Linked DNA regions of Saccharomyces cerevisiae S288C. The gene in region 1 interacts genetically with each later gene. Each region holds a gene or a part of one and is shown in the gene's direction. Other genes may lie near its edges.

Region 1 (5,519 bases):
TGCCCCAATGGATGGCACATATACCAAAAGTTAAACTTTCGTAGCCAGCAGATTTGAATCCTGCCTTCTCAATCATGGATTTGAACGTTTCTTGGTCAGGAAATCTTTCGATAGACTCCACCAAATACTGGTAAGAGTCGTAGTCATTAGCAATCATCGAGCCCATTACAGGTAGGACCTTAGCCCACTGTTGGTAAGCAAAGTCCATTAGGGGATTCTCAATTTTGGAAAATTCTAGACAATAAAAAATACCGCCCGGTTTCAAAACTCTATAAGCAGTGTTTAAACCCTTTTGAATATCGGTGAAATTTCTGATACCGAAGGAGACTGTGTAGATGTCCTTGGAATCAGAATCAATCTCCTCTAGTTTCTCACCATTAGAAACCAAAAATCTCACACGAGGATCCTTGAAATATTTTCCTTGTTCCATGGCTCTCTTCTCACCTTCTTTAAGCATGTCAGGGTTGATATCTACAATATCCATTGTAGACTCAGTGTCACCAAATTTCGACTCAGCATGGTCTAGTAATCCGAAAGCAATATCACCGGATCCCCCAGCCACATCTATGAAGTTCAAAGGAGTCGTAGAGTTTGGCCTTTTTCCCGCATCTAGTTTATTGATAAAATGGTCCTTCCACAATCTATGAATTCCTAATGACATAACATCATTCATCAAGTCATACCGATTGGCCACGGAAGAAAAGACATCACCAACTAACTTCTGCTTGGTAGACTTCAATACAGTCTTCGAACCAAAATGCGTATACTTCTGCTCTGGCTGTTCAGCTGCGGATGATAAAGGACTATTAACTTCTTCTTCTTTGCATGCTCTGTGAGCTTGCGTAAAACACCTAGATAATCTTAGCGGGACATTTACCAGCGAGCTTCGAACGATCCGTGAAGAAATCAACATTATATCTTTCTTGCTGCGATCTGTACTATTCCCTTTGCAATTGTAACAGCAGCTGTATAAGGAGTGAAGGTGGCAGATATCCTTATAGTTTCTTGTGTGATCCTTTTTTTTCCACTTTTTCAGTTTTTGTCAAATGCGGAAGCTAGTTTCCATATTAGGGAAGAGCAGGCAACAGGGCAGAATCCTATACGGAAAGACTTTCATTTAATGATACATTTGCCAAATAACTGTGTTCCAATATCGAGAACAGAACTATCGGATACCTTGATATTTGCTCAATGGTGTCACTTCCCGTTTTTGACATGTACTCTTCCCAATTCAGAAAAATTCTCGCACTTTTCCCACAGAGAAAACCGCAAAACTCAGAAATTTAGGCTGTGTATCGCCGATAGTATCACGGCCGGTTTATGCTTGATTTGGCTGCAAAATGGTCACATTGGACCTAGAAGTGGCCTTTTGTAGCTAATTATAAGTGCATGATTATTGTGACCAGTAACATTTGCTGACGCGTTGTGCGGGTAGCACACGCCGCGTCTTATTTTTGTTTTCATCTCATCTTCGTTAGATCATAATAATATGATTGAAAACTGGAGTAAAACGCTAAAGAACAGTGTCAAGGTTAGTAGTATCGTATACTTTACATTGATCACGTTTGCACTATAGACTGAATTTAAATTAGAATTTTATGGTACTGATGGAAGATATGCAAAACAAAGATGGCCATAATACTGTAGAAAACAGTAGTGGTGGTACGGACAGTAATAATAATATTCAAATGAGGCGAATGAGGAAGACACAGCTGTCCAAGAAGGAGCTTTTTGAGAAGAGGAAATCTGACGTGTTAATTGCTGCCAAGTCTTTAGATACAGAAATTCAGAATGTGAAAAATTTGAAGCGATTGTCGATTGGTTCAATGGATTTGGTAATTGACCCTGAGCTAGAGTTCAAAGTGAACAGTAGAAACTCATATTCTTCAGATTCCTCAAAGGAATCCCTTCAAGAATCGCTCCATGAAGAGAACATTATACGATCAGAACAAAAGGAAGAACAAGGGAGCGAAGACAATGATGCATATGAAGAGGGCGATGCTACTAATGTCGACGACAGTATAGATATCACTCAAACAGAGTATTTGCATGATGAAGAAACATTGGAGAAGGAAAAAATCATCCGTAATGCTTCTTCATCCACTTCATCTTCAGCAAGAGTAACGTCGAGGAACAGAAGGCTCAGTGGAGTAAAGACATTGGCTCACGATGTTGTATTGGATGTGGAGAACGACCACGATTCAAAAATGGTTGATTTAACTCAAAACCTTTTGTGGGTGCCCGCTGACCAACATCCTAACGTTAAGCCCGAAAACTATTTGGAATTGATCCAGGACACTTTACAAAACATTCAAATAAGCACAAATCAAGACATTGATGAAAACAAATTAGAACTGGGTAACAATCATGTAATTTCGAATAGAAAACGCACGGGCTCTGTAGTTAGAAGGCCTTCTCGGTTGAAGACATCTTATACCAAGTTTGATGACGAACCTCCCCTTGCAGACAAACCACAAGAAGGAGAAATACAAGTGGATAAGCGAATATCCTCATCTGACATCAAAACCATAAGATCTGTATCTTTGAAAGAAATTACTGAAGAGCTTACTAAGATTTCCAATAATGCCGGTTTAACGGACTCAGATGCGGTGACTTTAGCCAGAAGCTTGAGCATGTCAGGGTCATTTACCAACGAAAGTCTTCATTTGAACGGCAATCACACTGAAAATGATAACGAATTTGCATCAAATATGTTTAATGAAACTGGACTTACCATACCAGAGAGATCTTCTCTAAGGAGGTCTAAATTCAACACATATAAGATCAGACTAGAGGGTAGTAGCCTTCCACAGGCGGTAAAACTCAATAGCCTAATGAATATACAAACTAATGACAATCGCAGAAGTGCATCATCGCCTGCCTCCTACACACAAGTGCCTCAGGAGCAAGCATCATTGAATGATTTTCACGAGATTTTCGACCATTACAGAAGAACAAGTACTGATTGGAGTACCGAAAATGAGAAATACGTTGATAGCACCAACTACTATTCGGATGAAGAAGATTTGACACATGCATCTATTTCTCAAGAGAGCAGTCTTTTATCTACAGATAGTTCTAACAACAGCGTTTTAATAAAGCCGCATAACACTGGTTCGATGATTTCTGAAAAATTGGATCAGCACGTTAGCTCGAGTGAAAAATCAAATACCAATAACAGCGAAGCAAATCATGGCTGGTCATGGTTGAATTCTAGCAATGGAAGTTTGAACGCTAATGAACAAACTTATCAACAGCTTACAGATGATGAAGACGATGAAGAATGTGTGGACAATGAAAAAGCTGACTTTGTTAACTTGAGTGTATCGAGGAGAGCGAAATCTACCAAACGTGCCTCTGAAAGAATAAACCATTCCAAAAATAGACATTCGCCAATTTTCCAGATACATTCTGAAGAAGCAAAATCCGTGGTAATCACTCCTTCAGTCGTTTCTTCATCTGAATCCCAGCCATCTAAGCCTACTGCACCGGCAGTCGTGGAGAAAAAGGTAGAACTGCCTACTGACACCCAAGCCAGTACACATAAGAAAAATTCCTTGGAGAAAAGGCTTGCCAAATTATTCAAAAGAAAACAACATAATGGTACCTGCAAATCAGATGTGAAAGTAATCAAAAAAAGTGTTAAAAAAGAACTGAAAAAGAAGGCTTCGCATTCGAGTTTATCAAAATTCAGGAAAAGTCCCAAGAAAAAGCCCCAAGAAGCGGAAGTTGAACGCCCTTCATCCCCCACCAAAACAATTACCACCGAAGATATAGATACAGCAAGCGTCATTGAACCAGAAGTGAGAAGTTCAAATGCTTCCACCCTTCTTCCTGACAGCCATACTAGCCACAGTTCTGAATTTGTGGTGGAAACTATAAGCGAGTTAGATGGCGACGATTCATTTGATATTAGTGGTGGTGATGTAAACTACGACGTCGAAGTGCACTCTAGTATCAGTAGAGATACGACAGCTGGACTAGAAGAGGATATAGGAGCAGAGAGAGAAGACAACACTTCACCTACTGCCCCTCAAATCTCAACTTTGCCTCCAAGAAAATTGACATTTGAAGATGTCGTTAAACCAGATTACTCAAACGCTCCAATAAAATTCACAGACAGTGCTTTTGGATTCCCATTACCAATGATAACCAACTCTACAGTGATTATGTTTGACCATCGTCTAGGAATTAATGTTGAAAGGGCTATTTACAGACTCAGCCATCTGAAGCTTAGCGATCCCGGGAGGGAATTAAGACAACAAGTATTGCTAAGTAACTTCATGTACTCCTACTTGAATTTAGTCAATCATACCTTATACATGGAGCAGGTGGGCACTGGAGATATAGCCTTCAATGGTGATTCTGCCTTGGGAATGATGGACAAAAATGATTCTGATGGCACAATCTTAATTCCAGACATTTAACTCATAACTGTTTACAAGATTGATAGATACCTATATAAGGCCACATATTTCAAGTATTGTAAGGATGCCCTTTTAGTGTCAAACTTCTTATTATCACGAAAAACGTCGTCTTTTCATGCAAGGAAGGACTACAGTATATACATATAAATATATATTTATGTAATTATTTTTTTCTTTTTTTTTAAATTTTCTAGCGAGAATGAAGAAAAGCCGACCTCATCTCATCCTATTTGGAACAAATTCGAATGATCTGTCCAATACAGCAAGGCTACCTTGCGGTTGAATTCTATCTCGTACTACACTAAGACGAAAGAGAAAAACGAAATGTCCAAGAGTAATACTTATAGGATGCTCGTCTTACTAGAAGACGACACCAAGATAAATAAAGAAGATGAAAAATTTTTGAAAGGTAAGCCGGGAAAAATGCATGAATTTGTTGACGAGTTGATACTTCCATTTAATGTTGACGAACTGGACGAATTAAATACCTGGTTTGATAAGTTCGATGCCGAAATATGTATACCGAACGAAGGTCATATCAAATACGAAATTAGTAGCGATGGTTTAATTGTACTTATGCTAGATAAGGAAATTGAAGAGGTTGTCGAAAAAGTAAAGAAATTTGTCGAAGAGAATAACTGAAATAATGATGTTGCTTCGGTTTTTTGCATGAATATAACGTGACTGTTGCGTATGCATATGTGCACGTAATTTAAAGAGAGAGTGACAGAATCTGCGCATCAGCATGGGGGCATATACAAGCATATGAGAATTTGGATAATGTATTACATCTAATTTATAAAGTTTGTAGAACAGCCTCTAATTTATTTAGTCTTTCTCCCACGCCCAATTTCGTTATTAGTTTGTCCTCCTTGCCGATTAACTCCAGCAACATTGTGGGCAACAACTCTTTGTTGTAATACCGACACCATAGAGCGTGTCCGTTAAATTCTGTATATTCTAACTTCTTCAGGGATGCTCGATGAAAGCAAGCCGTGCATTGAACCAGATCATCCTTCTGGAATTTCGTGTAGCCGAGAAGCAACAGACCTACGAGAGAATAGTCTTTACAATCGAAAAAAAATGCCAATT
Region 2 (5,993 bases), on another chromosome or scaffold:
GCTGCAGCCCTATAGGCACTTTTCCTGTAGAGAACATTCTTGTGCTATGGAACATATGAAAGGATGGGGCATAAAAAAACGGCTTCCTATACGAAGTATAGCATCGTTCAAGAACAACCCGTCCCCATAGTAATAATGACTTAGTCGCTAAGTGGAATGTGGAAGGCATGAGTGTGAGATGGGCGACCAGTAAGAGCCCATGTGTGCAGATGTAGTTGTTCAAAGTTTCATATAAATACAGCGGCTTGATCAGCTTTGTTTGAGACATTTCTCTGTTCTTTTCCTTCCAGTTAAGCCTATATCATCACTAAGCAATAACCCAAAAAACAACAAATACAATGGTCAAATTAACTTCAATCGCTGCCGGTGTCGCCGCCATTGCTGCTGGTGCCTCCGCCGCAGCAACCACTACATTATCTCAATCTGACGAAAGAGTTAATTTGGTTGAATTAGGTGTTTATGTTTCCGATATCAGAGCTCATTTGGCTGAATACTACTCTTTCTAAGCTGCTCACCCAACTGAAACTTATCCAGTTGAAATTGCAGAAGCTGTTTTCAACTACGGTGATTTCACCACCATGTTGACTGGTATTCCCGCCGACCAAGTTACCAGAGTTATCACTGGTGTTCCATGGTACTCCAGCAGATTAAAGCCAGCTATCTCTAGTGCTCTATCCGTAGACGGTATCTACACTATCGCAAACTAGAGTCCCTGCTTTACGAATGAAACCTGTACAGGTATGAGAGGTTACGAAAAAAAATGATAAATGAAAAAAAAAAAGCTTAATAATATGAAATTAATAGTATGAATAGTTAGGCGCATGTATATAAATATAAATTTTTGTATATATGTATTATTAATATTATAAATTTCTTATTATTAAACCATCCTTTACGGAAATAACGGCCTATTCCCTTAGTATTTTGTTGTAGCTCGTGGAGTTATCCATTTTAAATGGATCTTGGGATAATTTTTACTGCTTCCCTCGTACTGGGAGCTTAATACACGTTCGTCTTGTTATCATCATAAATATGTGTTTATTATTCTCGCCTGGAAGGAAATCTTCAGTATAAATTCGTGAGGAATTTAGAATATAAATAATTCAATCATAAGAAAACATAAAAAGATCAAGTAAATAATAGAGGCATACAAGCATAACCAAATAGTACTATAAACAATTTTAAATTACACGTAAGAGATAATGGGTTATAAAGTATGTTTTTTTAAGCCATTACTGCAGCGTTCTTTATCATTATTTGAGTTCGAATGTGGAAAATGACGACTGAAATTTATAAGATAAAATATTCGAACTATATAGAAGAAAATTTTACACTCTTCGCCTTTGAAAAACATGAGTGAATGTCCTTGATCGTTATTTGGCCTTCTGAAACTGTCCATATGGGTTATTTTGAGTTCCTTATAAAGGCTTGGCGCATTATCGAATATCGTTTAGTAAAATTTATGATCCACTTGCATCGGCATGGGCATGAGCAGTACTCATTACAAAATCCAAATCAGTGATATTTACAGTAGTCACAAATTACTGTTATTTTTTATCCATTTTTGTAGTTTTTGTACAAATATACTATTGGAAATAGAAAAAAATTCCTTTGAAAGGATCAATTTTAAGTGGTAAATAGAATGAACAAGCCCAGGACAATGGATTCAGAAGGGGCCTTATCGTGTCTCATAGATATTTTTCTTCTCGGTAACCTTTCAGTAATTTCTTGAGCACGAACTCGAAGCGTTTCATCAGGTATTTCATAACTATGCATGATTTTTGATGGCTTTGCATCATATTAGAAGAAAATTTTGCAGCTGAAGAGCTCTAATACGGCTTTTCTGTGGTCGTAAAGACAAGGCTGTTCATAACGCTTGTTGCCATTATGTAGCTTTGCACATCTCATATCGGTAAGGATGTCGTTTGTCATCTAGCGGCGAACTACTGTAATGTAATAATGTCCTCTGGCGTCGTGTATGGAAAAGAGGCATAATCAAAATTGGGCCTATCAACTCATTAGCACTCTATGCTATACTGTAGTGCTCTGTGCGGACTTTGCTGTGCCATTATAATCCTTTCCACCTTGCGATGGTCTTTCCGCTTTTCTTGCTGTTATTTTTGTATACGGGAGATCTGCCTCACAAAAGGTATATCTTCTACTTGGAGGCTCGAGGAAGGACAAAACACACATAAGCACTACCCATTTTCCTGGTAAGACTATACCATGAACAGTATGGCCGATACCGATAGAGTCAACTTGACTCCCATCCAGAGGGCATCTGAGAAATCCGTGCAATACCACTTGAAGCAGGTCATTGGGAGGGGTTCTTACGGGGTAGTTTACAAAGCCATTAATAAACATACTGACCAAGTCGTGGCAATAAAGGAGGTCGTGTACGAAAATGATGAGGAACTTAATGACATTATGGCAGAAATTAGCTTGTTAAAAAATTTAAACCATAACAATATTGTTAAATACCACGGCTTCATACGAAAAAGCTATGAATTGTATATCCTCCTCGAATACTGCGCTAATGGTTCTTTGAGGAGGCTCATTTCAAGGAGCTCTACCGGATTAAGTGAAAATGAATCGAAAACCTATGTGACACAGACACTATTGGGGCTGAAATATTTACACGGTGAAGGAGTCATCCACAGGGACATCAAGGCGGCTAACATCCTGCTGAGTGCTGATAACACTGTCAAACTTGCTGATTTTGGCGTTTCCACTATTGTGAACTCCAGCGCCTTAACGCTAGCGGGCACACTCAATTGGATGGCTCCAGAGATCCTGGGCAACAGGGGAGCTTCTACGCTCAGCGACATTTGGTCTCTAGGTGCCACTGTAGTTGAAATGCTCACAAAGAATCCACCCTACCACAATTTGACAGACGCCAATATCTACTACGCTGTTGAAAATGATACCTACTACCCACCTAGCTCTTTCTCTGAGCCACTAAAGGATTTCTTATCTAAATGCTTTGTGAAAAACATGTACAAGAGGCCGACAGCCGACCAGTTACTCAAGCATGTGTGGATCAACTCTACCGAAAATGTGAAGGTCGACAAGCTCAACAAGTTCAAGGAGGACTTTACCGACGCTGATTATCATTGGGATGCCGATTTTCAAGAAGAGAAACTAAATATATCACCCTCTAAATTCAGTCTTGCAGCGGCTCCCGCTGCCTGGGCAGAAAACAATCAAGAACTAGATTTAATGCCCCCCACTGAAAGTCAATTGCTGAGCCAATTGAAGAGTTCATCTAAGCCTTTGACGGACTTGCATGTGCTTTTCAGTGTTTGCTCCCTCGAGAACATCGCTGATACAATTATCGAGTGTCTGTCGCGCACAACTGTTGATAAACGATTAATAACTGCATTTGGCTCCATTTTTGTTTACGATACCCAGCATAACCACTCTAGGTTGCGACTGAAATTCATCGCTATGGGAGGAATTCCACTGATCATTAAATTCGAACATTTAGCCAAAGAGTTCGTCATCGACTACCCTCAGACTTTAATTGAATGTGGAATAATGTATCCTCCGAATTTTGCATCGCTGAAAACCCCAAAGTATATTTTAGAACTCGTCTATAGGTTCTACGATTTAACATCCACAGCCTTCTGGTGTCGCTGGTGTTTCAAACACCTCGATATATCACTCCTTCTGAATAACATCCATGAAAGAAGAGCCCAATCCATACTACTAAAGCTATCGTCATATGCACCATGGTCTTTTGAGAAAATTTTGCCCTCTTTAATTGACTCTAAGCTAAAAAAGAAAATTTTAATCAGTCCTCAAATTACTTACGTAGTCTTCAAATCAATAAACTATATGATAACCACGAATGACGATAAAATACACAAGTCCGCTATTCCTTCTTCTTCCTCTCTACCGTTATCCTCCTCACCCACGAGGAACTCACCAGTGAATTCGGTACAGTCTCCATCAAGGTCCCCTGTTCATTCTTTGATGGCAACGCGTCCCTCTTCTCCAATGCGACACAAGAGCATTTCAAACTTTCCCCATCTGACCATATCTTCAAAATCAAGACTACTAATTGAATTACCGGAGGGTTTCTTTACCTGGCTAACATCTTTTTTTGTTGACATGGCCCAAATCAAAGATTTATCTGTTTTAAAGTACTTCACCAAGCTTTGTTACCTTACAGTACATATAAACAGCACTTTTTTAAATGATCTGCTTGACAACGATGCTTTTTTTGCTTTTATCCGGAATATTGATACCATCATTCCCTTTATCGACGACGCAAAGACAGCAGCTTTCATTTGGAAACAAATCACTGCTATATGCGTTGAAATGAGTTTGGATATGGACCAAATGAGTGCTTCTTTATTTTCTACAGCTATGAATTTCATCAGAAAAAAGAATAACACCTCCATAAGTGGACTGGAGATCATACTGAACTGCTTGCATTTTACGTTACGCAATGTAAATGATGATGTGGCTCCTACAGTGGGCTCATCAGAGTCTCATAGTGTTTTCCTCATAAAGGTCAACAATGACGCTGCTATTGAATTACCGATTGATCAATTAGTTGACCTGTTTTATGCATTGAATGACGATGACGTTAACCTCAGTAAACTAATTAGCATTTTCACGAAGATATGCTCATTGCCCGGTTTTGAAAACCTTACAATTAATATCATATTTCACCCGAACTTTTATGAAAAGATTGTTTCTTTCTTTGATACCTATTTCAACAGTTTACTTATTCAAATCGATCTATTGAAATTCATAAAGCTAATATTCTCAAAATCGTTATTGAAGCTATATGACTACACAGGACAGCCGGATCCTATAAAGCAAACCGAACCAAATCGTCGTAATAAGGCCACTGTTTTCAAACTTCGTGCCATTTTAGTACAAATAACGGAGTTTTTAAACAACAACTGGAACAAGGATGTCCCAAAAAGGAATTCAAATCAAGTTGGGGGGGACTCAGTTTTGATCTGTCAGCTATGTGAGGATATCCGTTCATTATCAAAAAAAGGAAGCCTGCAAAAAGTTTCAAGCGTCACTGCAGCAATTGGTAGTTCTCCAACAAAAGATGAGCGTAGTAATTTGCGATCCTCCAAAGATAAAAGTGACGGCTTTTCCGTCCCCATTACAACATTTCAAACATAATGTAGGAATTGCATGTGCATACATACATATATAGAGAAATAATACAGCATTACATTAACACTATATATAGAATTGTGAACCTTCCAATACTGAAAACGCATCTGTTTGGAAAAGAGATCAGAAAAGTTTTTGAATTTAAAGAGGCCAGTAATGATAAAAAAGCATATACATATATATGCTTTTTTTCTTTTCTTTTTTTTTTCAATTGGGGATTAAATGTATGAACGACTCAAAGTGCATTTTGTTAAATGTTTCTAGCTATAGATCAATAAATCTGAAATACGATATCTGACATGATTGCAGTGGCACAGTCTTCCGATAGGTTACAGCCAAGTTTTTTTTTTAAGGTTTCTGAATTTTTTCATTACGTTTCCTAATTAGGTTAAACGTAAATAAAAGCGACTTTTCAAAAGAATATCAAATCATATAACATGAAAAGAGCAAGATTCACAATACTAATTTCAATGAGAGTGCTATTTGATAATTGAATCAATTCTCTGTGTGAGTATGCATAGACGACAGTTTTTCCAAGAATACCGTAGTCCTCAGCAGCAGCAGGGACACCCACCAAGGTCAGAATACCAAGTTCTCGAAGAAATTGGGAGAGGTTCATTTGGGTCTGTACGAAAAGTCATCCATATACCTACCAAGAAACTTTTGGTTAGAAAGGATATCAAATATGGCCATATGAATAGCAAAGAGAGACAACAGCTGATCGCTGAATGTAGCATTCTATCGCAGTTGAAGCATGAAAATATTGTAGAATTTTATAACTGGGACTTCGATGAACAAAAAGAAGTGTTATACCTTTATATGGAATATTGTTCCAGGGGTGATTTATC
Region 3 (4,253 bases), on another chromosome or scaffold:
AAAGAGAGTTTCTCAGTATCAAAAGAAGAATCATCTATATACTTTGTCTCTACGTCATTTTCATGATTAGCGATTTCTTTTTTTCTTTTATTCTTTGATAACTTACTCAATTTCCCTCTCACGGTAAGGCCTCTTTCAGTCTTTTTCCAATTGTAATAAAATCTAACAATCATCGACATAGGTTGAGTGCCCACATACTCACACACTGGGCGTAATTCACTCCCAAATTTCTCGACAGCTTCCTCAAACTTTCGGATCTCCACGGCGGTAAAACTTGGCTCTTTCAAAAATTTTCTGGAAAGCTCCCTTTTACATTTTTTAAATGCCTCTGCTGTATCATAATTTGTAAATAATAAATTCTTTAGGACTACATCAATGAAATTACAAGTCTCACCTCTCACATTGAGAATAGGGCATATTTCGCTTTTGCATTGTTCAATATATTCACTCAATTTTCGAGTAGTAATTTTTGATGCATCAAGTACCCATGCTAGTTCCGAAGTTTTCGTTGAGCCTCGCTCTTCTTCTGAATTTGCACTTATATACGAGTTCCGCCTCCAGGGCACATTATGATTACATCCGTTCCATTGATACTTCACTCCTACCCTAGAGGGTTTGAAAGGATATGGAAAAAACATAGAATCATTTAATGCGTCACCAATATGAGAAATGGAATATATTCCTAAGTATTGAAACCAGCAATTTTCGGTATTATAACCAACATTCTCTTTGATAGCTTTGCTAGAAATTTCTTCAATTTTTTGTCTTACAGAGCGAATAAAATCCAGTTCCAGTGCTTGTTCTTCTAGAAACCTAACATGCGAGTCCTTAGTACCTTGTTGTTTCTGTAAGCAACTGAAGCAGGTCCAAACGACGTCTTTGTTCGGCTTCCTGTCAAGTGGCGGATCCATACAGTATAGATGTGCACAAACGCCGCATTCATCACATGAAAGGCTCTCCTTTTGGATACACCATTCTTTACAGAACTGACATCTTTTATCCCATTGGTAGTCTGCAGGACTTAATTCGTTTACCTCTAGTTCATGGAAAACGTATTTCTTCAAAACGTTCTCCAATGGATACTTCGGTTCTGTATAGATATAACGAAATCTCCTATTCAAAACATAAAGAAATGGCGACTTACTGTTCCATTTATTTAATATTTTATCCGTGCTGTAAACTTTGTAATATTTCAAAGTATATCTGTCAAAAAGTTCATCAAAGTAAAAGATATTGGGTCGTATAATGCATTCCTTCTCATTAGGAAGAACATCAAAAACTTCGTCTTTATGAAATATACTACATTTTCCCCTGTATGATGAAATAGGACATATGTCCTGGTGTAATGATGCATACACCAACCTTGGGTTAAAAGTATTTACGTGCTCTTGAATATCCCTAGGACGATAAAACCAATTCATTCTAACTTGAAAAAATTTAGCAGGGAAGACCGATGTTGTCTTTATAGCTTCATGAATAGTGTTAGAAAATTCTGGTTTACTAACAAAATTTACAACTCTGCCAACATAATAAGGCTCGCCAGCAGGCTCTGATATCATATAAATAGTGTCGTTCGCAGATAAAAGGACAGATTCTGTATTGAAAAGAGACATCTTTTTCAAGTCAATCATGGCATCATCTAGATCAAGTATGTTAGAGAATCTGCTATTCTTTCTGAACGAAGGGGGTAATGTAGGGATAAAGTTCCAGCAAGTATTCTTATCATGAAGGAATTTTTGGTACTTGAATTTCTCGTTTCTACTAGCTGGATTGCTTGTCCTTTTACAATTCCTGGGAGTTTGGCTATTGCTACCCTTGGTCTTAGCACCACTTTTTTCCGCTATTTGTATTTGTTGAACTAATTTAGTATCTATTTCCATTTCATTATAATTCACGTTTTTAGCAGCCTCTCTTCTTCTAGGTAATTGGAAATCTTCTTCTTTAGGCATAGCGTGACCAGCTGAAAGGCAGATGATCTCAATATGTCCCGATAGGCCAATTTTGCCACCAGATAGTTCGATGGCATTTTATTTTTAGTCCTTTTGAAAGCAATATCATAAAATATATATAGTTCTCCATGATGTTCGGGTCAGTCGCTCCGAAGCGTAACCTAGTATAATAAATAGTTCATTGCAGAAAATAACGAAAGAAATGGTGGAATACGATCTGTTATATCTAAACTAAAGCTAACTAACGGAATAAGCAAATACGAATCGACCGCTAATTTAACAAATATGGTTTTAGCAATGGAAAGTAGAGTGGCACCGGAAATTCCTGGGCTCATTCAACCTGGGAATGTCACGCAAGACTTGAAGATGATGGTCTGTAAATTATTGAATTCCCCAAAACCTACGAAAACATTCCCTGGTTCCCAGCCTGTGTCCTTTCAGCATTCTGATGTGGAAGAGAAGCTGCTTGCGCATGATTACTACGTTTGTGAGAAAACAGATGGTCTGCGGGTGTTGATGTTTATAGTGATAAATCCTGTGACGGGTGAGCAAGGATGCTTTATGATTGATAGGGAAAATAACTATTATCTGGTTAATGGATTTAGGTTTCCCAGATTACCCCAAAAGAAGAAAGAAGAGCTGCTAGAGACTCTTCAAGATGGCACCTTATTAGATGGTGAACTTGTCATACAAACTAACCCAATGACAAAATTACAAGAGTTGCGTTATTTAATGTTCGATTGTCTTGCTATCAATGGTAGATGTCTCACACAATCACCAACAAGTTCTAGACTAGCCCACCTTGGAAAAGAATTTTTTAAACCATACTTCGATTTAAGAGCAGCGTACCCTAATCGTTGTACTACTTTTCCGTTCAAAATTTCCATGAAACATATGGATTTCAGTTACCAATTAGTAAAAGTTGCTAAAAGTTTAGATAAACTACCACATCTTTCTGATGGTCTGATATTTACTCCTGTGAAGGCACCTTACACTGCCGGCGGAAAAGATTCATTGTTATTAAAATGGAAGCCAGAACAAGAAAACACCGTGGACTTCAAATTGATTTTAGATATCCCAATGGTGGAGGATCCTTCTTTGCCTAAAGATGATCGGAACAGGTGGTATTACAATTATGACGTTAAGCCAGTTTTCAGCTTATATGTCTGGCAAGGCGGAGCTGATGTCAATTCACGTTTAAAACATTTCGACCAGCCTTTCGATAGGAAGGAATTTGAAATATTAGAAAGAACATACAGAAAATTTGCAGAGTTGAGCGTTTCAGATGAGGAATGGCAAAATTTGAAGAACCTAGAACAGCCATTAAATGGTAGAATAGTAGAGTGCGCAAAAAACCAAGAGACTGGGGCGTGGGAAATGTTAAGATTCAGGGATGATAAGTTAAATGGTAATCATACATCGGTGGTCCAGAAAGTTTTGGAGAGTATCAACGATTCAGTTTCATTGGAGGACCTCGAGGAAATTGTTGGTGATATTAAAAGGTGCTGGGACGAGAGAAGAGCAAATATGGCTGGTGGTAGTGGGAGACCACTACCGTCTCAAAGTCAAAATGCGACATTATCTACCTCTAAGCCAGTCCATTCACAGCCCCCAAGTAATGATAAGGAGCCAAAATATGTAGACGAGGATGATTGGTCGGATTAGGCTAAGAAGTGTTCGTATCGACATATATCGGTGTAAGAATTTTGTGTATGAATAAGATAGAAAAGCAAAAGCAATTGCTTTTGCTAAATTAATTCAGTTAGTTATCTATTTATATGTACATGAGAAATGGGAGAATTTTGAGAAGCGAGGGTGAAAGTGTTATATACGCATATACATGTATATATATGCGCATGCTTATCACCTATGGGAAAGGACTAAACTTTTCAATAATTCTCTTGGGTTACCGTTACCACTTAGGAAATATTTTTCGTCAATCAAGTTCTCCCACTTTTTTCCTGTGATATCCTTGTCTAATAAAACATTTGATTGTTTGTAGTAATCGATTAGTTCGTTAACTTCCTGTTTGTTCAGTTTAGGAACCTCGAATTCGGTGACATTACCTTTTTGGAGCAATTCTACGAACTTCGGTTCATAGTGATATCTAGTAACATAGGGGTCTACTGGGATCTTGCCCAATGCCACGGGTAAAGTTTTGTTTGTCCTGTCAACGCCGGATATAGCTAATATAGTAGAACTCTCACCATTAGCAAATTTCGTCTCTCCTGAAATAATGTCCATCATCAATTTACCCATTTGTAAATCCAGGGAATATATTTGTTTATTCTCTGTATTTCTGTA

Evidence for each region.
Region 2: mutations in ZDS2 (region 1) and CDC15 impair growth when combined (synthetic growth defect), as found in Saccharomyces cerevisiae (one study listed by BioGRID).
Region 3: of ZDS2 (region 1) and CEG1, extra expression of one rescues a mutant of the other (dosage rescue), as found in Saccharomyces cerevisiae (2 studies listed by BioGRID).

What each region holds. Positions count from the first base shown.
Region 1 is NC_001145.3:50,042-55,560, forward strand, and holds ZDS2 (Zds2p), read left to right. Parts: upstream 1-1,598; coding exon 1,599-4,427; downstream 4,428-5,519. Other genes in the region: COQ5 (2-hexaprenyl-6-methoxy-1,4-benzoquinone methyltransferase), read right to left, coding at 1-913; YML108W (uncharacterized protein), read left to right, coding at 4,752-5,069; PML39 (Pml39p), read right to left, coding at 5,224-5,519. UniProt on the Saccharomyces cerevisiae protein: Acts as a negative regulator of polarized growth via an alternative mechanism to ZDS1. In heat-stressed cells appears to play a role in localizing BCY1 to the cytoplasm. Seems to interact with, and down-regulate, CDC42. Also acts as a suppressor of PKC1.
Region 2 is NC_001133.9:171,369-177,361, reverse strand, and holds CDC15 (serine/threonine protein kinase CDC15), read left to right. Parts: upstream 1-2,226; coding exon 2,227-5,151; downstream 5,152-5,993. Other genes in the region: seripauperin PAU7, read left to right, coding at 339-506; serine/threonine protein kinase KIN3, read left to right, coding at 5,659-5,993. UniProt on the Saccharomyces cerevisiae protein: Protein kinase of the mitotic exit network (MEN) essential for late nuclear division in the mitotic cycle. Promotes mitotic exit by phosphorylating DBF2 and directly switching on DBF2 kinase activity.
Region 3 is NC_001139.9:263,911-268,163, forward strand, and holds CEG1 (mRNA guanylyltransferase), read left to right. Parts: upstream 1-2,234; coding exon 2,235-3,614; downstream 3,615-4,253. Other genes in the region: DNA-binding E3 ubiquitin-protein ligase SNT2, read right to left, coding at 1-1,949; mitochondrial 37S ribosomal protein mS29 RSM23, read right to left, coding at 3,813-4,253. UniProt on the Saccharomyces cerevisiae protein: Second step of mRNA capping. Transfer of the GMP moiety of GTP to the 5'-diphosphate terminus of RNA via a covalent enzyme-GMP reaction intermediate.